Struthio camelus: one gene and its partner. The protein of the gene in region 1 binds, or shares a complex with, the protein of each later gene. Links are inferred from orthologs where the notes say so. Each region holds a gene or a part of one and is shown on either strand. Other genes may lie near its edges.

Evidence for each region. Proteins that work in one complex are often made in the same cells at the same time.
Region 2: the proteins of RAB11FIP1 (region 1) and RAB14 are in contact, whole or in part, in a crystal structure (PDB 4D0G), measured with the Homo sapiens proteins. The link is inferred for Struthio camelus from reciprocal best matches to the Homo sapiens genes RAB11FIP1 and RAB14. Residues at the interface, in NP_001002814.2 of Homo sapiens: Glu1252, Ile1255, Asp1256, Asn1257, Leu1259, Val1260, Met1263, Pro1267, Asn1268, Leu1270, Arg1271, Ile1272; in NP_057406.2 of Homo sapiens: Leu28, His29, Ile44, Gly45, Val46, Glu47, Phe48, Gly49, Trp65, Arg72, Arg74, Ala75, Val76, Ser79, Tyr80.

What each region holds. Positions count from the first base shown.
Region 1 is NC_090968.1:6,998,164-7,005,525, reverse strand, and holds the start of RAB11FIP1 (rab11 family-interacting protein 1), read left to right. Parts: upstream 1-4,353; 5' UTR 4,354-4,418; coding exon 4,419-4,774; intron 4,775-7,362. Other genes in the region: prolactin-releasing peptide receptor-like, read left to right, coding at 810-1,443. UniProt on the Homo sapiens protein: A Rab11 effector protein involved in the endosomal recycling process. Also involved in controlling membrane trafficking along the phagocytic pathway and in phagocytosis. Interaction with RAB14 may function in the process of neurite formation.
Region 2 is NC_090961.1:2,920,998-2,928,813, reverse strand, and holds the start of RAB14 (ras-related protein Rab-14), read right to left. Parts: upstream 3,002-7,816; 5' UTR 2,584-3,001; intron 2,474-2,583; exon of another isoform or gene 2,297-2,473; intron 2,160-2,296; exon of another isoform or gene 2,096-2,159; intron 377-2,095; exon of another isoform or gene 307-376; intron 223-306; exon of another isoform or gene 155-222; intron 1-154.

The DNA.
Region 1 (7,362 bases):
TAAAAGACTGCAAGGAGAAGAGTGCAAGATGCACAGAGATGGAGGAAATAAAAGATTAATTGGCAGCTTTTTTTTTATTCACTTAAAGTGTTGCCTGGAGTCCTCAAGTCAGATTCAGAGAAACTTTATCAGAGGGATGCTCGAGGAACTGAACGGAGCCAGACGCACCTGATAGGGGCTCATTTCCCAAAACAAAAGCAACCTGCCGCCTAACACAGGGCCTTGTGGCAGGGCAGAGAGACGCCTTGTTGCTCCTCTGTCCCCAGGAAACTCTTTTCCCGAGGGGCGGCCGGGGCTGCTGCCACGGAGCCTCGGAGCCTCGGAGCCTCGTTTCCTTTTGTGCTGGGCCTTTCTGCCGTAATTAAATGTCAGAGAAAAATGTCACGGTGCTGAAACAAAAGCAAAGGGCCGTTAGGTGTTTGACTGACAGAAGCAGAAAGGAACGGGTCCTGATGCCTGGGGAAGAGGCTTGGCTGTGGCTTTTGTGCTGGGCTTTGTGGTGGCTGCGGTTCCGTGTGGTTCCCGGTTCCCGTGTGGTTCCCGGACTGGCGAGACAGCAGGGCTCCTGGGGACGGTGAGCAGCAGCCTGCAAAACCCGCCGCGATCCGCTCTCGGGCCATGGGTGCTCGCAGCCCGGAGGGGAAGCCATCCGAGCGCCGCTGTGGGTATCCACCCCTGGAGAAAGCGGCTGTCCAACCCCATCGGCGAATGAGCCGGGGCGCGCAGCTAGCAGCCCAGCCTTACCTGGGCCACCCTGCGCGACGGGGCGGGCTGCACCGGGCACCACTCACCGTGCGTCTCTCCCGCAGGTACTACGCCACCGTGCACCCCCTGAGGAAGCGCATCTCGGTCACCAGCTGCGTCTACGTGGTCGGGGGCATCTGGCTGCTCTCCTGTGCCCTGGTGGCACCGGCGATCGCCCACACCTACCACGTGGAGTTTCGGAGGGAAGGCTTCGCCATCTGCGAGGAGTTCTGGATGGAGAAGGAGCAGCAGCGCCTGGCCTACGCCTACAGCACCCTCATCATCACCTACATCCTGCCCCTCTCAGCAGTCTCCCTCTCCTACATCTGCATCACAGTGAAGCTGAAGAACCGCGTGGTGCCCGGGCACCCCACGCAGAGCCAGGCCGAGTTTGACCGGGTCAGGAAGAGGAAGATCTTCCGCCTCATCGTACTGGTGGTGGCGGCCTTCGGGATCTGCTGGCTCCCCATCCATGTCTTCAACATCATCCGGGACATAGACATCAACCTCATCAACAAGCACTACTTCCTGCTCATCCAGCTGCTGTGCCACTGGTTCGCCATGAGCTCCTCCTGCTGCAACCCCTTCCTCTACGCCTGGCTGCACGACCGCTTCCGCTGCGAGCTGAAGAAGATGTTCACCTTCAAGCAGAGGATCATCCCCACCAATAACTGCGTCGCCGTGAGCGTCATGCTCTGAGGCCTGGGCACGGGGTCCCGGCTCCCCTACGCCCTCCCGCTCCTCGCAGCCTCCGCGCACGCACGGGTCGCTTCAGCCAGCGCTCCGGGCGCCCTGCCGCCTGCCCCAGCACCTCCTCTGCTGGGACGCAAACTTCAGCAGAAGGAAACCCTTTCCTTGCCCAAAGTCCAGCCTGGGGGAAGCGTTCAGCGTTCATTCAGCAACGCGCAAGAGAAATAAGCACGCGGTTGCCAGCCCAGTCAAACCCGCAGGGTCAGAGCGACGTTCCCCGCTGACGCATTGCCAGGGAGTCGTTAACGCTCGCGCGGCCCGTGACGGACCCGCCGAGGGACCCGAGGAACCTGGGGTCTCCGGGCGGCACAGCCGGGCCACCCCGCCGCGGCCTCTCCTCCCCGGCGCGCCCGGGCCGCTGGCCAGACGCCGGCAGAGCAGAGCAGCGGGACGACTGGAAACACAAGGATTTTCTGCTGACGGGGCCCTGCTCCTCTCTGGAACGGGCCCGGCTAATCCCCCGACAAAGGGGCGCCGCGCTGGGCTGCGGGCCGGCTGGAGCAAGCCCTTCCTGCCCGGCGGAGATGGGGAAGAGAAAGGGGGGAGAAAAAAAGAGGAAGGAGGCCGGGCAAAGCGGGGGAAAGCTCTGCGGGAGCGCGGCCGCGAGGCAGCGCGCGGGGGCTGCGCAGAGGGGCTGCAGGAGAGGCCGCGAAAGCAGCCCGAGCCGTCGCGCCTGCTGGGCTCAGCGCGCCCCTCGCCACGGCATGCTGGCAGGAGGCACGAGGGCGCCGCCGCCTGCGCTGCCGGACCGGTTGTGCCTCGTGCCGCGGCTCCCTGCCTTGGAGCGAGGTGCGAGCGGGCGGCAGCTCCCGGGGCCGGCAGCAGGCGAGGCGCAGCTGCACGCTTTGCTTTGGGCCTTCAAACACGTGGTTATTCCAAATTAAGCAAGGAAGTAGGCCTGCAGGAGCGCAGCGGAGGGGGTGAAAAGCATTTGGCTCCCGCGAGGGCTTGGGGGGCTGGCGATAGCTGCTGTTTCATTAACTGAATCGTACGGCTTTCATTAAATGGATCCTCAGGTGCTGGACATGGGATTCTCCCGGGAGTTTGTTTCCGCAGAAGCGTCAGCGCAGGCGAGGGGAGCCAACACCGACCCGGGGTCACCGAGACGGTGCCGTTAGCCTGACTGCCCAGGAAGGAGAAGAGAGGAGGGGAGAGAGGAGCGCGCTCCTCAGAGACAGAGAGCGGCCCCGGAGCTTGCCTCCTCGGCTGCTGGCTCAAGGGGCACCCGCGCGTCCTCGGTCCAGGCTCCCGGCCGGCGCGAGGACGCGTCGCTGCGGCTTCGGAGCCATGTTCATAGAGAGCGGCGCTAACGGGTGTCTCCGTTCACGTGTGGCCCAATGCTTCACGTCCCGTTTAGGGCGCCAAAACACGTGGCGCTCCCGGGCGGCGCGTTGTCCCTAGCAGCTCGCAGGGGGACGGGTGGGTTCCCAAACGGGGGCCGAGCTGCCCGGCGCCGGCCCGCTCCGACTTCTGCGCTCGCGACGACGGGGCACGGGGTGCCGCGGGGGTGCCTTCGGCTGTGTAACCCCCGGGAAGCAGCTGATGCAGGCTGCTCCCAAAGCGGCTGACACCGCCACACCCCGCTGTGCACCCCTGCAAACCCGCGGCACCCCCCCCCGCACACCCGTACATCCCCTGCACACCTACTGCACACCCCCAGTACACCCCCTGCACACCCCAGCACACCCCCGCACACCCCCACCTGTACACCCCCACACCCCCAGTACACCCCCTGCACACCCCAGCACACCCCCGCACACCCCCACCTGTACACCCCCACACCCTCAGTACACCCCTGCACACTTGTACATCCCCTGCACACCTACTGCACACCCCCAGTACACCCCCTGCACACCCCCACACACCCCCACCTGTACACCCCCACACCCTCAGTACACCCCCGCACACCCGTACATCCCCTGCACACCTACTGCACACCCCCAGTACACCCCCTGCACACCCCAGCACACCCCCGCACACCCCCACCTGTACACCCCCACACCCCCAGTACACCCCTGCACACTTGTACATCCCCTGCACACCTACTGCACACCCCCCGCACACCCTGCAGACCCCCAGTACACCCCCTGTATGCCCCCTGCACACCCTGCTGTACACCCCCCGCACACCCCAGTACACCCCCACACCCCCTGCAGACCCCCAGTACACCCCCTGTACACCCCCGCACACCCCAGTACACCCCCACACCCCTGCAGACCCCCAGTACACCCCCTGTACACCCCCGCACACCCCAGTACACCCCCACACTCTTGCAGACCCCACTGTACACCCCCTGTACACCCCCGCACACCACAGTACACCCCCACACTCTTGCAGACCCCACTGTACACCCCCTACACATCCCCCCACACCTGTACATCCCCCCCACACCTACTGCACATCCCCTGTACGCCCCCCGCAAACCCCCCACCCCAGTACACCCCCCCAACCCCTGCAGACACCCAGTACACCCCCTGTATGCCCCCCGCACACCCCCGCACACTCCAGTACACCCCCACACCCCCGCACACCCCCCGCACACCCCCCACACCTACTGCACACCCCCAGTACACCCCCTGCACACCCCCGCACACCCCCCGCACACCCCCCGCAGACCCCCAGTACACCCCCAGTACACCCCCTGCACACCCCCCGCACACCCCTGCACACCCCCCGCACACACCCCCCACACCTGCACACCCCCCGCAGCCCCTCCCCGCACCCCCCCAGAGGCCGCTCAGGCCCCGCCCCCTCGCCGGCCCCGCCCCCTCTCCGGCCCCGCCCCCTCTCCCGGCCCCGCCCAGTTCTCGCGAGAGCGGCGCGCGGCGGGGGCGGTACCGCTCCGCGCCGCTCCCCGCCGGGCCGGGCTGGACGGTCCCGCTCCCGCTCCGCTCCGCTCCGCTCCGCTCCGCTGCCGCTGCGCCATGGAGGCGGCGGGCTCGGCGGCGCGCTGGGCGCCCACGCACGTGCAGGTGACGGTGCTGCGGGCGCGGGGGCTGCGCGCCAAGGCGGGCGGCGGCGGCGGCGGCGGCGGCAGCAGCGACGCCTACGCGGTGATGGCGCTGGGCCGCGAGCAGTTCTCCACGTCGGTGGCGGAGCGCTGCCAGGGCCGGCCCGAGTGGCGCGAGGAGGCCGCCTTCGAGCTGCCGCCGCCGCCGCGCCCCGCCGCCCTGCGCCTCACCGTGCTCCACCGCGCCCTCGTCGGCCTCGACAAGTTCCTGGGCCGCGCCGAGGTCGACCTGGCCGCCCTGCGCGCCGACGGCGCCCGCCGCCACTCCGGGTGCGTCGAGGGCCGGGGCGGGCAGCGGGGGGGGGTCTGGGCGGGGCGAGGGGGGTCTGGATGGGGAGCGGGGGGGTCTGTGTGGGGCGAGGGGGCCTGGGGGGGGAGCGGGGGAGGGGTTGTGTGGGGCGAGGGGGCCTGGGGGGGGAGCGGGGGGGGTTTGTGTGGGGTGAGGGGGCCTGGGGGGGGAACTGTGGGGGGGTCTGTGTGGGGCGAGGGGGCCTGGGGGGGGGGGCTCTGTGTGGGGAGCGGGGCCCTGGGCGGGGAGCTGGGGTGGTTTGTGTGGGGTGAGGGGGCCTGGAGGGGGCTCTGTGTGGGGAGCAGGGCCCTGGGCGGGGAGCGGGGGGCTCTGTGTGGGGCGAGGGGGTCTGGGGGGGGGCTCTGTGTGGGGCGAGGGGGCCTGGGGGGGGAACTGGGGGGGTCTGTGTGGGGCGAGGGGGCCTGGGGGGGGCTCTGTGTGGGGAGCGGGGGCCTGGGGGGGGCTCTGTGTGGGGAGCGGGGCCCTGGGCGGGGAGCGGGGGGGGTTTGTGTGGGGTGAGGGGACCTGGGGGGGGCTCTGTGTGGGGAGCGGGGCCCTGGGCGGGGAGCGGGGGGGTTTGTGTGGGGCGAGGGGACCTGGGGGGGGCTCTGTGTAGGGAGCGGGGCCCTGGGCGGGGAGCGGGGGGGTCTGTGTGGGGCGAGGGGACCTGGGGGGGGCTCTGTGTGGGGCGAGGGGGTCTGGGGGGGGGGCTCTGTGTGGGGAGCGGGGGCCTGGGCGGGGAGCGGGGGGGGGTCTGTGTGGGGCGAGGGGGCCTGGGGGGGGGTCTGTGTGGGGAACAGGGGCCTGGGTGGGGAGCTGGGGGGTCTGTGTGGGGCGAGGGGGTCTGGGCGGGGAGCTGGGGGGGTCTGTGTGGGGCGAGGGGGTCTGGATAGGGAGCTGGGGGGGTTTGTGTGGGGTGAGGGGGCTGGGGGGGTTCTGTTTGGGGATCAGGGGCCTGGGGGGGTCTGTGTGGGGAGTGGGGGCCAGGACAGGGAGCTGGGGGGGTCTGTGTGGGGCGAGGGGGTCTGGATGGGGAGCTGGGGGGGTTTGTGTGGGGTGAGGGGACTGAGCAGGGGCTCTCAGTGGGGAGCTGGGGGCTCTGTGTGGGGAGCGGGGAGCTGGGTGGGAATCTGGGGGGGGGGTCTGGGCAGGGGCTGTGTATGGGGACCGGGGGCCTGGGTGGGGAGCTGGGGGGGTCTGTGTGGGGCGAGGGTGTCTCTGTGAGGAGCTGGGGAGGGGATCTGTGTGTGGAGCAGGGGGGAGTCCATGTGGGGCAAGGAGGCCTGGGTGGGGAGCTGGGGGGGGTGGTCTGCGTGGGGCGAGGGGGCCTAGGTAGGGAACTGGGGCCTCTATGTGCAGCGAGGGGGCTCTATGTGGGAATCTGGGGGCTCTGTGTGGGGTGGGGGGGCCTGGGCAGGGAGCTGGGGGGGTCTGTGTGGGGCGAGGGGGCCTGAGGGGGGTTCATATGGGGAGCCAAGGGGCCTCTGTGGGGCTGGGGACGGGCCTGGGGGGGTCTCTGTGAGGAGGTAAGGGCTCAGTGTGGGGCTGGGGGGGTGCATGTCGTGAGTTGGGGGCTCTGTGGGGCTGGGGAGGTCTGTGTGGGGAGTTAGGGGATCTGTATGGGTATCTGTGGAGCTCAAAGAGTCCTTGTCGGGAGTTGGGGGGGCCCACGTGGGTCTGGGCAGGGGCTTACGTAGGGAGTTGGGGGGCTGGGGAGGCCTGTGTGGGTGGGCAGAGTGGTGGAGCAGCAGGGGCTGGCTGGGTGCTGGGGAGGCCCCCTGTGCCCCATGGAGGGGGGGGGTCACCAGGGGTGATGGGGCCCTGTAGGTCGCTGACGGGGACCTCCTGTGTCCCACGTGGACCTCTACGTCTCGGGGGGCCGAGGACAGTGATGGGGGTGCCCTGTGTCCCATAGGGACCTCTGTGCCCCGTGGGAGACCCTGGGGTGGAGATGGGGGCCCCTTGTGCCCCATGGAGGGGTGCCGAGGGGCAGGGTCCCTCCTGGTGTGTCCGGTCAGGGGCCCCGTCGCTCGGGGGGTGCCTGCTGCCCTGGACGAGGCCGGGGGGCCCTGGCCCCCGCGGCTGCTTGGCCAGGGCGCGCTTCTGCTTTGGTCTTTGGGGGGGCTCTAATAGCCCGGGGAAACGTACCTGGTGCTTTTTTTCAGGACAGCCCTGCTCTGGGCTCCGGTTTCCTTGTTAACGTTGGCATATAAATATTTGACAATTTATGCTCAGAACAATGAATTTGACTAAAGAAACTTAGTGCGTTTGAAACACCTTCTTGATTTGGTAGTGAATGGAAGTACTATACAAGCTGACTGTTTATACGTGTTTCTTAACGAATACGCAGCCTAGTCATGCGTGAGAGTAGATAACTCGGTGTTGTATGGATTCACTTAACTATTGTTTGCAAGACACCAAACTGGGAGACTTTTCCTGTAATATTGAGTGCCAGATCTGTGTCATGCTTGCACCTTTTAACCTAAACACTTGTGGATTACTTTAAAATCGGAGGGATAGTTACCGTTTTGTTACGAGTCGACAGCATTAGGGCAGCGTGAACGTTCAT
Region 2 (7,816 bases), on another chromosome or scaffold:
ATCAAGCCAAATATATACATATTTGGCTTGTCTTTAAAAGAGTCCTCTTCTAAGATAGATCCTTGAGGAATCTAAGTAGAAGCTTGCTAGCAACCCAATACTTTCCTTTTCACATCTATCTGGCAGCATAGCTTCTCGCTGGCTAGTTCCTTACTCATTCTTCAGTTCTTCTGAAGTCATCCTCTCTAGTTTAGTTCTCCCATTTGGGCTTCAGTAAAGCACCTGGTAGAGCACAAGAGAGTAAAACTGGCTGAACTGATCATCCTATAGGAAGTAAAGTGACTAGTGACAAGCAGAGATACCAACCAGACAAACTACTTCTGATCTGCTTTTGAAGATCACTCCACATGTTCCCATTATCTCCACATCCAGTTATTCTTCCTTTAAAAAAAAAAAAACCACACACCAAAACCACACACACACAAGGCCTACAGGCTCCCGGGGTTAGACCAAACTTACACCTGTACAGACCCTTATTTCAAGCTGCTCTTGAAGAAGGGCATTTGCTGCATTCCTTAATCATGTAAAACACCGTAACTCAACCTGAGGTCTATTAAGTATTCCTAGAAATTCCACAGCCCTTTACCACCCTTCCTATATGATGATTTTGACCCCTCCCCCTTAAAAACCACACACACATCAAGACTACATATCAAACCATCTTCATCTTTTGATTTTCCTCAGTTATCCAGTCCTACTCCAATTGTATTTGTTATCCTTTTAATGCTTTCACATCCTGCTCTATCAAGCCCCATTTTGTTTCTGAAACTTCTTGTATTTATATACACACACCCACCTCTTATTTCTTACTAACCACACCTAGCACCCCAGCTAAATTAAATATGACATACCTGTACTCAATGAGAGCACTCTCTCCAATGCCTGCTTTTAGCCATAGGAGTTCTTTATCCATCTGCATATCCTCATTTACCCACTTTCCTCTTTATAACAGGAAGTCTAGTTCAACCTGCACCATGTGTCTTGAGGTTGCAGAACTAAGTTTCAGACAGGTAGCAGATAAGCTTAGGAGATAGCAAATATGGAAGCTAGAAGAGTTATGCTGTTAGTCTAATAAATCAATATAGAAATACATGAAACTAGAGTCATCAGCTTGGAAGAAGTATATTTTTGAACAAAATTAAGTAAGGAAAATAGCAAGATGAGAACCATTCACAAGTAGATTCCATTAGAGACACAGGAACAAGCAAGTAGTTTTAAAGTTCTCTTTACGTTTTTAATCCTAGTACCTCTAGTATAACAGGTTTGTTTTCAGATTGCTGTCTTTCACAATAACTTTTTTCTTTGGGTGACTCTCCAAATGGGAAGAGAATGGAGAAGCTTCTTCCTACAACTCAGATCTAGGCCAGGTTCAAATCCTACAGGAAGCTAGCAGCTTCCTTTTTAAGCATATTCAACTATTTGATTTTTAGGTATGAAGTCTTCCAGAGTGGGATTTTCTTGCTCATGCCCGCGTAACACTCGAGCACAACAGGCCCTCGACCCAAACTGAGATAGAAACAGATCCCAGAAGAAATGCATCTCAAATGAAAACATTTAGGTGTTAAAAGAATTAAATTTCTGACTCGTGGGTTGAAATTGTTCAAGTAGTCTTTGTCCTAAATCAATCTTGCTCATAAAAGGGCACTTTTACATCTTCAGAAACGTGCAAAGCACCTTTCTCCTTCAGAGATTCACTCCCTTTTGGAGACCTAGAAAGCACAATCCACATCAAATAATCTCAAGAGCAATACACCCATAGAAGGAAAGAAAGACAGACCCCAACACAGGTGCTTTTTCCTGTGTTTACTGCAAGGATGAAGCCAGTATGTTTTCAGTTCAAGACAAAACCATCCACGGGTGTCACAGAATCCTTAAAAAAGGTACCGCAAATAGACAATAGGCAACGAGGTGGGGAGGGAAAAAAAAAAAGGCAATTTCATTCTTCTGTTTGGACAGAAGAGTCGCTGAGAAAAGAAAAAACAGAACAAGTCTAGAATGCTTTTGCCACTTCCTCAAATAGGAAGTGGCATAGATTTGTTGCCTTTTTTTTTTTTTTTAAATATGAAGGTTATTTTTCTACCCGAGCTCCCGACAGCACGGGTCCGCCCGGAGAACAGCGGGCGCGCAGGCAGCCTAGCAGAGGCGCGCAGCTGCGGCAGGTGAGGCGCGCTCGCACCCCCCGGCCCCAGGTGCGCCATGGCGGCGCGCCCCGCGGGGCGCACAGGAGGGAAGGGGAGGCGGCGGCGACCAACAGCAGCAGCGCCGCGAGGCCTAGCGGCTGCCCAACCCACCTCACCCTCCGCGGCCCCACACGCATCCGCGGCGCCGGGCGACGAGGGAGAGCGGCCGAGGCTGGGCAGCGCCGCGGCCCCGACTAGGCCGGGCCGCGGGCAGCGGCAGCAGGAAGGGCTCCCCCCTCCCCGGCGGGTCGGGAGGCGGACGGCGACCTGCTGCAGCTCCCCCCCGCCGCGGCAGGCCCGCGAGGGCCCGGCCGGGAGCGGAACCGGCCGGCGGGCACCGCCGCGGGGGCCTAGCGCGCTCTAGGCCCGGCCGGGCGGGCGCCTCTCGCCGGCTCCACCTCACCTGGGCTCGGGGAGCGGGTGGCTGTGCAGCTTGGCTCTGTCGGCGGCAGCCCGGTCCCCGCTGTGGGCACGGCGAGCGGCTCCGCTTCGGGCTGGGCTGGGTTGGGTTGGGCAGGGCAGCGGCCGGGCCGAGTCTCCGCCTTTTTCTGGGGCTCCCTCCGGCTTCAGTTCCGCTGGCTCCACTGCGCCCCCATCACCTCCCCCCGCCCCCGCCAACCCTTATCCAAAATGGCGGCGCCCCTCGCACGGGGTTTCCCCTCCCACTCTCGACGGGCGCCGGGGCCGCACAAAGGTGGGCGCGAGAGCCCGCGCCGCAGCCAATCGCGGAGGCCGCGCGCCCCACGGCGCCCGCCTTCCCGGCGGGGCGGGCCACGGCGCCAGGCGCGAGCGCGCGCACCTCTCCCCCCCACCTCCCCCCCGCTCCATCGCCCCGCCCCATCGCCCCGCCCCGCCCCGCTCCGGCGCGCGCCGAAGGGCGGGCGGGAAAGCGGCGGGCGGGGCGGCGGTGGTTGCTCGCGCGCTCGCCTCACGGGCGCTCGCCTCACGGGCGCTCGCCTCACGGGCGCTCGCCTCACGGGCGCTCGCCTCACGGGCGCGGCCCCGCCCCTCTCCTCAGGAGGGCGCCATGGCGCAGCGGAGCCGCCTGCCGTGAGCGTCCTGAGCCGTGAGCCCGCCCAGGTGAGGGCGGGCGGGTCCGGGCGCGGGAGCGCCCAGCGGGTGCCAGCAGCCCAAATTGATGGGGGGGGGGAAGGACACGAGAAAAGCACACATAGGCCAAGAAACACCATAAAAACGAGACCTGAAGGTCTCAAAATTAGACCTGTGGGGAGGGTCTCGCGACAGTCCAACGTCTTGTTGCGCCTAGGTCGAGGGGCAGGTGTGAGCCCGCACGTTCGCTCTACCCAAACCGATGAGAGAACAGGAGGGAACCTCAGTCTGGCAAAGGTGCTGCCACATCCAGGCCTCCCGGAAAGATGATGGTTTACTGGAGTGACCTACGGAGTAACACAAGTGCGATGTGTTGTAAAAGTGCCAATATGGGATGATAAAACATCGATACTATGACTAGAACGTTCAAAAAAAAAAAGGCTCTGGATAGTAATGCAGCTTTACGTTCTAATACAGATTACAAATAACTGAACAAAAATAACATGAGATACTAATGAAAGCATCTTTTGTATGCAGATGTGATAAACATACTGCTTAAATCTACTGTATGTGCAAAAGGTGAGTGAGCAAGTGTTAACACTGAAGAAAATCTCAGCTTTTCCACTTTTCCACTGTGGAAAAGTAAAGTGATACTCCTGGAAGCTGCCCACCAGACAGGAAATCATACTGCCCTTTGGCCCTTGGTGTTCCCACCTGAAAAGTCACTACTGTAGCTGCCTCCAAATTACTACATTTATTTTTTTATCTGACCTACAAGCACAAGTCAGGGTCTTTCCTAGGAACACAAGCTGTGCACAAAGCACGCAGTACAAAGACCTTCACTCTCATTCTTTTGTTTCAGCCACCTCGGGGAGTAACACCTTTGTAAAAGTTCAAGCTCACAGAACAAAGCAAAAGAAAAGTGCTTGCAGGGTATTCCCACCAATGATACAGCCAGTAAGTACAATTTTGAGATAAATAAGCCTTAGCTAGTGTTTTATCCCAGAACCAAGACCATTAGTCAAGCGTAAAGGGAAGACTCCAAAATATTTAACGCATTAGCTAGAAAGCACTACAATATCCATGTTTCCTGAGATGAAAACATGAGGTAAAAGTAACATTACGAAGGATTCCGTGCATCTCCAGTTCAATAAACTTACCTAGATTCTTATCTCAACATACAAACTTCTATTATATGAACACAGAAATTACAGAAACACTTAACTTCAGACAGTCAAAATCAAGAGTAATAGTATTTCAGACTAATTTTCAGATTTTCAGTTTTACTCTACATTGTGTTTAATTGAAACTCCTTTGAAATTGTATTTTTGGAAAGCTTTAGGGCCTAAAAAACCTGTTAAAGCTGGTTACAGCTCTATTTAAAAAGAAATTATTACAAGAGCTGCTAGAGGGCAGCCACACAGCGTGTTTTCAGTGCATGATTTATGGTTTTGAAAATGAACAGGATGCTTTGTCAGCTTCAGTGCAACAAAAGCCAAGAGCTTCAATTAAAGCAAGCAGAGAGATTCTACTTACTCATTTTAGAATTGAAAGTTGATGAAGGCTTAAGTGCAATTGGAAAGAGCTAATAGTTCTCCCTGCCCAAATATATACTTGACACTGAATTTAAATAAGCTAACTTCCTCCCCTAACAGATTACTAAAGGATCTCGCACATCATAGAAAGCATCAACTTCTGTTGTGTCTCAGTGTCCAAGATGCAAATTGCACTTTCACATAAAACAGCATGGAACAGTTTCTGTACATGCCAGTGATATTAATGTTCCTATGGAAATATGGTTCCAGAATGGACATTTCCATCTCTAACTACTATGACATTATTAATTCCATTTTCTCAATGTAGCAATATATAGGGAATCCTCTGCTTTCTGAAATAGCTGCTTTCAGTGAATCACTTGTTCCCTAATAAATACTCAGCCTACCCAGCTCCCCTACCAGGGAGCCAGTGGAATGCTGAACTCCAGATCATGTGGGCAGAAGGCTCTCACCGGGCTGAAAACCATACGTGACAAACAACTTGCTTCTTTTTTTGGCTACTTCTACAGGAAAAAATAAGTACATAATATCTATGAATAAGAAAAAGCAAGGACTCAGTAGAAAGATATAAAATCAAACTATTATAGTTGTGTGACTACTGTCAGTTAAAATTTTTTCTTCACAACTGCTATTGTCAAGGTTTAAATTTGTAAATAGATAACACAGTGCAATAGAAACATTTTAAAGATTTGCAATACCTTATGTGGGGTGATTTGTACTAGAAAAATAGGTCAAAACAATCAGTAAGAATGATTTCCACAAGAGGGAGTCTTCCAAGAAAAATGATCTGAATATTTTGACCCAGTTACAGTCTGGTTTACAGTTCCTTTACGCATTTGGTATTTTCCTCAAATATTATATTAGCACAGATGCTATAACATTTCCTTAACAACTGTAAAATTATATAACAAATTCTTAAAATAGCATATAAAAATCAATTCACTACTTTTTATTTATGTTTCCTTCTTGGTAGAATTAGTTGAACAATGTTAGCTTTTCTGTTTTTTACAAAAGGGAGTTCATGATAACTGCCTTCATCTGTGATGCCCTAGTAAGGATGACAGATTACAAAGCCTGCAAAGGGAGAGATGGTGTAAGGAGCCGATTTGAATTTTATCTGCTCTTTCAGTGAAAATTCCAAACTGTCCTAGTCCTCTCACTCTGGGAGCAAAAAAACTGCTTGAAGTTAGTGCAAAGAATGTCCCTGGCTTTTCTATATGGTTTACTAATACCATTGCAGAGTTCAAAACTACTTGCATACTATAGAAAGAGAACATTATACCTCTTCCCTGACTCTAACAGGACAAACACTTCTCCTGTGTCGTGGCCGCAGATACAATTTCTTCAGGATTACTCAACAATTCTCCAAATTACTTAAATCTGAAGAGTGAGTTGTAGAGACCTACTTTAATCCTGAACAGGATGAAAAGCAATTTTGGAATATAGTCATTGTTATTTCTTATTTACCAGAAAATTAGAAGCCATTATGTAGCTATGAGCAAGACCAGTCTTTCTTATCTGAAACTCGAACCTCTGTGATTTACTCCCAAAGATATTTTATATAAAATTGTCATCATTTTTCAAATGAGGCAAAATGCAATACAGATTTGCTTTAAAGGCTGTGGTCTTGAATTGTTTTTTGTGCTTTTATCACATATTCCTGTAAAATTTTAAGCATTAAAAAGATTTTAGCAAGACATAGAAGACTGGGTAATAAGCATCTATATTTCTTCTTTCTTTTATTCTTGTGTGTGCTTGAAAGCTTGCAACAGTATTTCAACAACAGTTATTGAGAAAAGGCTGACTTCAGCCTATTCATTCTGAACATCTGGGCAGAACCTAACAACTGTAATTAAAATCCACTAAATTGGTAGCAATACCAAATTGCTAGAGAGGGAACACTGCGTATTGTCCCACCCTTCTCTGTGGATTTCTGTTAGGTCAATACAGATTTCAGTGCTCTTGAAAATACTTTCCTTTGTGTCTCTTTCTGAAGTCTCCATCAAGAAAGAACTGCATCCAAATTCTCTGGTCACATGAATGTTGCTCTTGGATCGTTTTTTTTTTTTTTTACCACAAATCTAGGAAAATTAAAGGCTCCTAGTTCATACAGTTGGTAGAACATTTCAGGATTCTGTTCTTTTCAAATAAATTATATACAATGATCTCTGTAATACCTGCTTCCTTGTTTTAAAATGCATCCTTGTAAAATATTTTAAAATAATGATTGAATTACATTTTAGCATTTGTGAAGAACATGGACTGGAACAGTGCAGAGAGTAAGTCATTTTTTATCCCAATCATTTCCTTTTAACCAAGGATAGCAGTGAGAGGCTTACTTTAGCTACTCCACTTGAACAGAAGCACCTCCAGGTTGAGCAGTTGTGGTCCCCCATAGTCTATTCAATCCTTGCCAAAGTCTGCAGTCAGTGACCTCCGCATGACCGTGCTACCCACAAAATCACCATGAGCAAAATGTAGCTCTTTTAATTCTGTAAAGGTGGCCCTAGTAAATACGGACATCCACATGTTTTAACAACTGGAGGTGCACTGAACAGCTTACTTAGCACACATTTCTGAGACGGGATTAAAAGAGTCACCATAGCGTTCTTCAGGACTCTAGTGTGCCCCTTTAAAATAGCTTAGCCCAAGGACCAATGGATAATGAAAAATGAAGAAAACATACTGTGAGCTTTCAGAGCAGAAGGGTACTGCAGCATCTGCTTATTGCTGTTCCTAAGAGTAACGTTTAATGACCCCTTTGCTTTAAACTGCTTTAAAATGCGCTAAACAACTAATTTCTTTCTGCAAAGCTCTTCTGAATGTCATATTCCTACTGGTACAAACTGTCAGCAGTGTATCATTTCAATCCTGCAGTCAGTTCATTTCCTAGTATTGCTGTACACACTCTCTGAAAATGTAGTATTACTTCTTTTATTTCAAAGTTCTCTATCTTTGATATAATATATTGTATCGGATCTACCTACTATGCTATGATTAATAGTTCCACCAATAAGAGGGTTTATTGTT